Regions from separate parts of the Mus musculus genome. Here region 1 is reported to be linked to region 2. Evidence: microRNA targets listed by miRTarBase, many of them from high-throughput screens and not tested one by one. Region 2 holds a microRNA gene; the other region holds the end of a gene's coding sequence.

Region 1 (4,055 bases), not on the chromosome of region 2:
GCTTGTGTGGCCATTATCAATGATACCATACTGCATCTGAACAAATCCCTACTCAGTAAGGACTTAAACACACCATTCCCCTTCTCAGGCTACGTGAGTCTACATGTCACTTAACATTAATGTCACTTAAACATTGGCAAGTTTCAAAGGATTTGCTCAAAGAGCTAATTGTCTAACAAAAATGCCAAGGTTTAGCACTAACTCTGAACCTCAAGAGTTATTTATTGATTGATTGATTGATTGGTTTTGAGACAGGTTTCTCTGTGTAGCCCTGGCTGTCCCGGAACTCACTTTGTAGACAAGGCTGGCCTTGAACTCAGAAATCTGCCTGCCTCTGCCTCCCAAGTGCTGGGATTAAAGGCACGTGTGCCACCACTGCCCTGCTGAATCTCATGTTTTTAGTAGTATGATTATTCTTCTCCAAATCTATCCTCTCCTTAAATACCTCTGTATTTTGAATTTGCACAAAATTGAAACATTCCCTGGCTGCAGTCTATTGGAAAAATCTTTGGTCTCCGAGTACTTTAATATTAATTTGTGAATTTTTGGTATCATTTGCTCATATGGAAGTCTCAGCTAAAAAAGAACTTGACTATTTTACATCAATACTATCCATTTCCAGAATGTCCTGCAAGAATGAAATTTTAATATGAAATCTTAATCTAAGTGTGATAGTATATGCTGATAATCTGAGGCAGCACCCAGAAGATGACATACATAGACCTTATTTCAGAAAAACAATAATAAAAAATTGAACTTCAAATGATAGTCTAACGCAAGACTCCAAGTTGCATTAATTTATTTTGAAGAAACATTTTGTGTTTTGTTACCGCTAAAATCATCGTTTATATGATAAAACCATTACATTAAATAGAACACTGATACACTATACCAGATTTCTCTCATGGCCACTATAAACAATTAAACTCTTCTAAACAAGCCATTCTGGTAAGTGATTTATTTTTCCTTTGCAGTGCTAGCACTCAAACCCAGAGCCCTGTACCTGATAGGCAAGCACCCATTGTACCCATAATCCCAACTCGTACCAAAACATTCTAATTATGTGCCCTTTACTCTCATTCTTAAGCTATCATCCAGTTACCTACAGACTAGTAGTCATTGACTTCCATCTACATATCCTAACACTGCAGTTTTTAGCTTCCTGTAAGGATTTTATGATTATTAATGAATTTATCTAGGCTAAACCATAACATTTATAATCTATTTTAGCATAAGTTTGGATATATGACTCTTTAAGTATCAAAGGATATTTTAAAACTTTGCTTGCTAGTAGTAATTTTAAATTAGAATGTTTAACCCAATTAATACTTTGTATAAACCAACTCATTTCCAATACAGTTAACTATTTTAGAAATACACTTTAGGTGTTGGGAGATGTAGTTCATTGATGACTGCTTCACATACAGGAGGCCCAGAGTTTGATCCCTGACACTTTAAAAAGACAAATATACTTTGAAAAAGGATACTTTTTAACTTAAAATTAAAAACCTACATAGATTCATTAGCTTATGTGATTAATAGCTTTAATAGGTGATATACATTTTGAACTTAAATTTTTAATTGAAGTGGCTCACATAAATACAATTTATGCAATGGCCATTTTGCTGTTCTATAAATAAGAACAACATGGACTTGATGGTCCAATTCTAAGGTACAGAACAAGGGTCAAGAGCTAGTGAACACAAACTTTTGTTTTGTTTTGTTTTGTTTGAGACAGGGTCTCTTTATGTATCCCTGGCTGTCCTTGAACTCAGAGATCTGCCTCCCAGTTAAAAGCAGAGTGAAAATTTACACTGATTTAGAATTGAGGAAAACCAGCTTTATGATCCCATCAAGACTAGGGATTTGGGGGAGAATACTGAACTCAGTAAAGGGTGGGGTGGGGGTGGGGTGAACCCCCAGAAACTAGCCTTCTGTGGAAACCTCACCAGAGAAAATCCACACTAGTATAAAACTAAACATTCCAGCTGATAAACGTTCTTCTTACACATCTAATTAAAAGCTACAGAAGTGGAAATACATATAAACTCCAAGTGAGATTGTTATCCTAATGCCTCCAGCTGTTTATTGGTAACTATTCTCCACAGCTCTACTCCTAACACAGGCACATTTGACATGGACGCTCCACTGGGTGCTACGTCATTTTGTAACAAGAATCAAAGTTCCAAAAATTCACCTGTGTCACTGAAAAGAAAAAAAAAAGTAAAAGCTCAAAAATCAAACCGAGTCCTGTTAGCAAAGTGCACTTCCTTTGGTGATTTCAGTACAAACAGCTGTTGGCTTCAAACATAGGAAACATGCTGATTTGCTGTATGTGATTTCTGGAAATAAGTCTTCCTGGAGAGAAAAATGAAAGCTCTCCCCTCCTTGTAATTTCATTTTGTTTTTATTACAGAAGAAACAGCACCAGTTAATTGTCTTAAAATGGCTTTGCTACTTCTCCCGTTCATTTTCTAGGCTCCTAATTGCTATCTGCACTACTGTACCATTTCTTCCTACAACCAGAGCTAGGAAGCTCTGGAAATACTGTTCAGCCAATTAACAAAAAAAATTAAAGCTCAGAGCACATACTGAAAGGTACCTTACATTTTCATTCCACGGTGTATCAAGTAATTATAAAGCTTTCATTTCTCCCAAAATGCTACAAAAATATATGAAAAAAATCCGTTTCCATCCGGTAAATAGTAACAAAACAAGTATCTTTTAACTAGATCATTTAGAGACTATGTATTACAGTAATTCCCTCTAACTGAATTCACCACCACTTTCTCTATAAATCCATTCATGTATTCAAGCATATGTATTTAGTCAACATACTCATATTTACATCAGTCATTTTTTAGGTTCAAGTAATAGTGCGCTTCTGACAATGAACTATTTCTACAATAGCTCCAAGACCCCAAAATGTTGTTTTAAACCTGTGTAGACAGATGCATAGCTATTTCTAAAAACTATACACCAAAACATGCTTGTCAGGAAAACTAACCCATGCACTTGAATATACCCCAAATATTTTAATTAATGCTAGACCAACTAAATTAAACATTTTCTAGAATTAAAGAGATAGCATTAAATTGTTTCCAGAATAACGTTAAAAACCACCTTGTCAAAACCTCCAGAAAAAATACTTCCTTCTTATCGCAGCGTGTTCAACTTAGCTGTGTGTGCATGTGTACACACTGATCTCCCTTAACATTTCCATTCATTAGCATTTTGTGTTTACAAAGCCTCGTTTGCAATTTCTTGGCAAAGGCTTCCCCCCAAAAGATACAAGCACAAAACACTAGGGCATACACTCTTCAAAGTTTTATTTCACTAACTTCAGGTCAAATTTCCACAAAATTGTTTTCTGGTCAATTACTAGCCTTTTTTGACTTCCCAAAATGGTAGTACCAAAAGATTTGTGGGTCAGGGAGAAGAGACCACTTTAAGAAGCATTGCATTGACTCATCTTCCACAAGGCAACAGAGTTGGGTATCTGACTGTTCAACAAAACAAAGCTTTAATAGCATCCATGAGGGCAGACAGGCAAACCAGGCTGTAGACACTCTTCAGCTTGTCAGAAATCAGACCCAGGAAAACCTATTCCACACCAATATAAAAGGTACTGCCATTCATCTCTTCTTTTTCTGTTGCCGCAACATTTTTCTCCTTTTAATTATCATATCATGTAGTTTCTCGAGTCCTTCCTTTAGCCCATCTCCTATGATTGCACAGGTGGGCTGCAAATGCCAAGGAGTCGATGAGCTCAGTTCCCCCATTGCTAACAACTTCTCAATCTCTGAGAGAGAGAGCGAGTTCCTCAGGTCTTGTTTATTAGCAACTATAAGCACAGGGACTCCCTGATTTTCGGATATCCTAGTTATTTTATGAAGTTCAGTTTTGGCTTCTTCCATTCTCTCAACATCGACAGAGTCCACCACAAACACAATACCATCTGTGCATCGGGTGTATGACTTCCACAGTGGTCTTAACTTCTCTTGACCACCTACATCCCAGAAGTGAAAAGTGACTGTTTTGGAATTGCCCAAGGT
Region 2 (4,068 bases):
TGGAGAGACCCATGGCTCCACCTGCATATGTAGCAGAGGACAGCCTTTTTGAGAATCAATGTGAGAAGAGGCCTTTGGTACTGTGAAGGCTTGATACCCCAAATGTTTGTGAATACCAGGGCAGGAAAGTGGGAGAAAGTGGGTGGGTGAGGTAACACCCTCACAGAAGCAGGAGGAGTATAGATGGGATAGGGGGGAAATTGGTAAATGGGAAAACATTTGAAATTTAAATAAAGGAAATATATAATAAAATATAATTAAAAAACAGTATAGAGAGTGGTAAAAACAGGAAATCTTGGAGTATCTAAAAACCTTGTATTTTATTACATAAGAAACCTTAAAGACGTATTCACCTATCTTCCCCCTTCTTGATTTTCTTGTGTTTTCCAAATTGTATATTGAGTATTTTAAGTTTATAGGCTAATATCCCCTCATCAGTGAGTACATATCTAATGACATCTTTTGTATTTCGGTTACCTCACTAAGAATGATATCCTGAAGATACATCCACTTGACCAAGAATTTCATAAACTCATTGTTTTTAATAGCTGAATAGTACTCCAGTGTATAAAAGTACCATATTTTCTGAATCCATTCCTCTGTTGGGAGACATCTGGGTTCTTTCCAGCTACTGGCTATAATAAATAAGGAGGCTATGAACATAGTGGAGCATACACTATAGATAGAATAACAATATGAACTATCCAGTATCTCCAGAGCTCACATGTAGCAGAAGATGGCCTAATTGGCCATCATTGGGAAAAGAGACCTCTAAGTCGTGCAAACTTTATATGCCCCAGTACAGGGGAATGCCAGGGCTACGAAGTGGGAGTTGGTGGGTAGAGGATCAGGGTGCAAGGAGAGTATAGGGAACTTTTGGGATAGCATATGAAATGTAAATAAGGAAAATATCTAATAAAATTTTAAAAAGAAAAAAAGAATGAAACCTAAAAGAAATGGATGTATTTCTAGATGAATATTATCTACTGTAGAGCAAATATGAAGGCTTGATCTCTTGTGAAGGGAAATGGAGAAGAGAAGTAGATTTGGTGGACAGGGGAAGTGTAGGGCAGGGGCTATGAGGTGTATAGAAAGAAGTAAACTAGAGTCTGGATGTCATACATGAGGAAAGAATAAATAAATAAATAAATAAATAAATAAATAGATAAATAGATAAATAGATAAATAAATAAAATATAAATAAATACATAAATAGAAGTAGAAAAACAAGAACGTGGATATGTGCAAGCTCATCCATAATTACAGAAGGCACTTTACATGTACTTATAGATACTCTGAATATTCATCTACGAGTCATATTAAACGTAGAAGTTGGTAAGCCTTACTCTACTTAGAAAGGCCCTGATCATTTTTTTTTTATTCATCAGATCAGCGCCATTCTAAATAGGGCATTGCATACAAAGCCTGTAATGAAATGTTCACACATTCATAAACAGTCTTCTTAGCTTGATCAAACCTCTAATTATAGCCATTAAGGGCCAAGTAAAGGGTCATACAGAATCCTTCTACTATAGAAGTTTCTTTTAATATATATGAGAAATCAAAATAGAGTCACTAAATAATGGGGAAAACCATGCTCTCAACTTTACACCTTTCACCACCAAGTGAAACATGCAGTGATGAACTGTTTATATCTAGTTGGATCATTAGCCAAATGGTTTCCTCCAGCAAACAACTTAGGCTTTTGTAAATATTTTGTAAATTGCAAAAACTCTTCATAAGGTGATATTATTGAACAAGGAAGTCAGAGTGGTACCTGTAGAATCAGCACCTCTACTAATCAGCATTCATGGTACTGAAAGTTACTCTGAATGATACCAGAGGATAAATGTAACCATCAACACAACTACAAACCATGTGCTCTACATGGTGATTTGCCTACATGCTGTACTGGTGAAATAGTGGCACAAATGCAATGCAAGTAACTAATTAATCTCTCAATGGTTTTAAGGCCTGCTGTACAAGATGGAGCCCATATCCTGGGGTCAAGAATCTAAGTCATGGGCCTAGGAAAGAAACACATGTTCTATTTTTCTTCTAAATGTACAATTAAATGACTCCTAAGGATGTTCTCCTATACGCATACCAGTGTCTTGATCAGCCATAATAAGCTAGTGGATGGAAAAACACAGACCCAGAATTGGGCAGGATGCAGAGAATGAGAGAATTTGAACAAATACAGGGCAATTTCAAGTCAGTATTGCCTCAGCTAGATCCATCACTCTTAGTAATTTTATCACTGTACTCCATAGAGTTTAGAATTTATTAACTGACCTCTACTTATAAACTCTAGAAAAGAAACCAAAATATATTTTAAACTTATGCCTTTGCCCAGATTCCCTACCTGTTTTAACACTAAAGTATGAAATAGTCATCAATAAATTTGGTACCTATTCCCCCTATTGTACAAAAAATTAGTGTTCTAATGTTCCTGGGTAGATAGTAACTGCATATATACTGCCATTTACACCCAGAGTACAACAATTTCAGGGCATGATGATCCTTGTTTTTACACAAAGATTTGTTCTTCATGTGTTTATAGGACTGAAACAAATCAAGACTATAGCCTGGTATATAGTGCTGATTTCACGTATCTTTACCCTTCCCCATACTTTCAACTGTAATTATAACATAAATAAACATAATATAACATACATAAAGTACTAGCTTTCATCCTGTTCTACTTAGGAAATTCTCTCACTATCTATCAAAATTCTCCCTGAATGTACATTTACTCATGTTTTTTCTTTAAATGAATACTCATCTCTGTAACAAAGCAATATGTTGACTACTATTTTCTTTTTTTGTCTACTTTACTACAATTATTATATTTGGCTTATTTGCTTTTACTATTTACATTTGTTTTCTAACCTGTACATTTTACAATAAACAATTCTCTGGTGAATACACCCGAAGTTACATTGATATCAAGACAGTTACCATGCATCCTGCTATCAAAAAGGTTTATCTCTCACATGTTGAAGTTTTAACCAAATTATATCACCACAAACATTGTATGAGTGAGATTTACTTCAGACAAAGAAGTCCTGGAAAAGATCTAAGTCACATAAGTTAACTGTTTTGTACTGCCCGAACATGTCCCATCATATCCTAGAGACTTTGTCATACTCCTAGAAAAGACTTGGGACTGTTCACAGGGTCCCCAATAGAGGAGTTAGAGCAAGTAATGAAGGAGATGAAGGGGTTTGCAACCTATATGAAGAACAACAGTATCAACCAACCTGAACCCCATACCTGCTATGGACTAAACAACCTACCAAGAGTACACATGGAGGGACCCATGGCTCCACCTGCATATGTAGCAGAGGACAGCCTTGTTGGGAATCAATCTGAGGAGAGGCCTTTGGTACTGTGAAGGCTTGATATCCCAAATGTAGGTGAATACTAGGGCAAGAAAGTGCGAGTAAGGGGGTGGGTGAGGTAACACCCTCACAGAAGCAGGAGGAGGTTAGATGGGATAGGATGGAAATGGGTAAATGGCAAAATATTTGAAATGTAAATAAAGAAAATACCTAATAAAATAAAATACAGAACAGAGAGTGGTGAAATTCAGGAAAACATGGACTATGTTAAAACCTTCTATTTAATTACATTAGAAACCTTAAAGAAGTATTCACCAGTTGGTCTTCCCTCTTCTTGTGTTTTACAAATTGAGTATACTAAGCTTATGGGCTATTATCCGATGCTCAGTGAGTGCATAACTAACCACTTCTGTCATGATTGGGTTACTTCACTAAGGATGATATCCTCCAGATACATCCATTTGCCCATGAATTTCATAATCTCATTGTTTTTATTAGCTGAGTAGTACTCCAGTGTATAAATGTATCACATTTTCGGTATCCATTCCTCTGTTGGGAGACATCTGGGTTCTTTCCACCTTCTGGCTATTGTAATAAGGCGGCTATGAACATAGTGGACCATACCCTATAGGTAGAACAACAATATGAACTAAGCAGTATCCCCAGAGCTCATATGTAGCAGAAGATGGCCTAGTTGGGCATCATTGGGAAGAGAGACCTCTAG

Evidence for each region. Region 2 holds the annotated microRNA mmu-miR-465c-5p (UAUUUAGAAUGGCGCUGAUCUG, at 1,386-1,407, opposite strand). A microRNA usually pairs through its seed, bases 2 to 8, with sites in the 3' UTR of a target mRNA and lowers its output. Matches are read on the target gene's strand: a 7mer-m8 pairs with bases 2 to 8, a 7mer-A1 pairs with bases 2 to 7 and ends in A, and an 8mer does both.
Region 1: miRTarBase lists Arl4a as a target of mmu-miR-465c-5p. Seed matches in the 3' UTR shown: 7mer-A1 at 2,823-2,829, 7mer-m8 at 2,736-2,742 and 7mer-m8 at 1,818-1,824.

The regions. Positions count from the first base shown.
Region 1 is chr12:40,032,509-40,036,563 of GRCm38, forward strand. Arl4a (ADP-ribosylation factor-like 4A) reads right to left here. Exons shown (of 2, transcript NM_001039515.1): 2 at 783-4,055. The coding sequence ends at 3,636. Among named protein-coding and RNA genes, the nearest start is that of Arl4a, 3.5 kb to the right of the region's middle.
Region 2 is chrX:66,831,181-66,835,248 of GRCm38, forward strand. Mir465c-2 (microRNA 465c-2) reads right to left here and starts at 1,417; the gene lies at 1,337-1,417.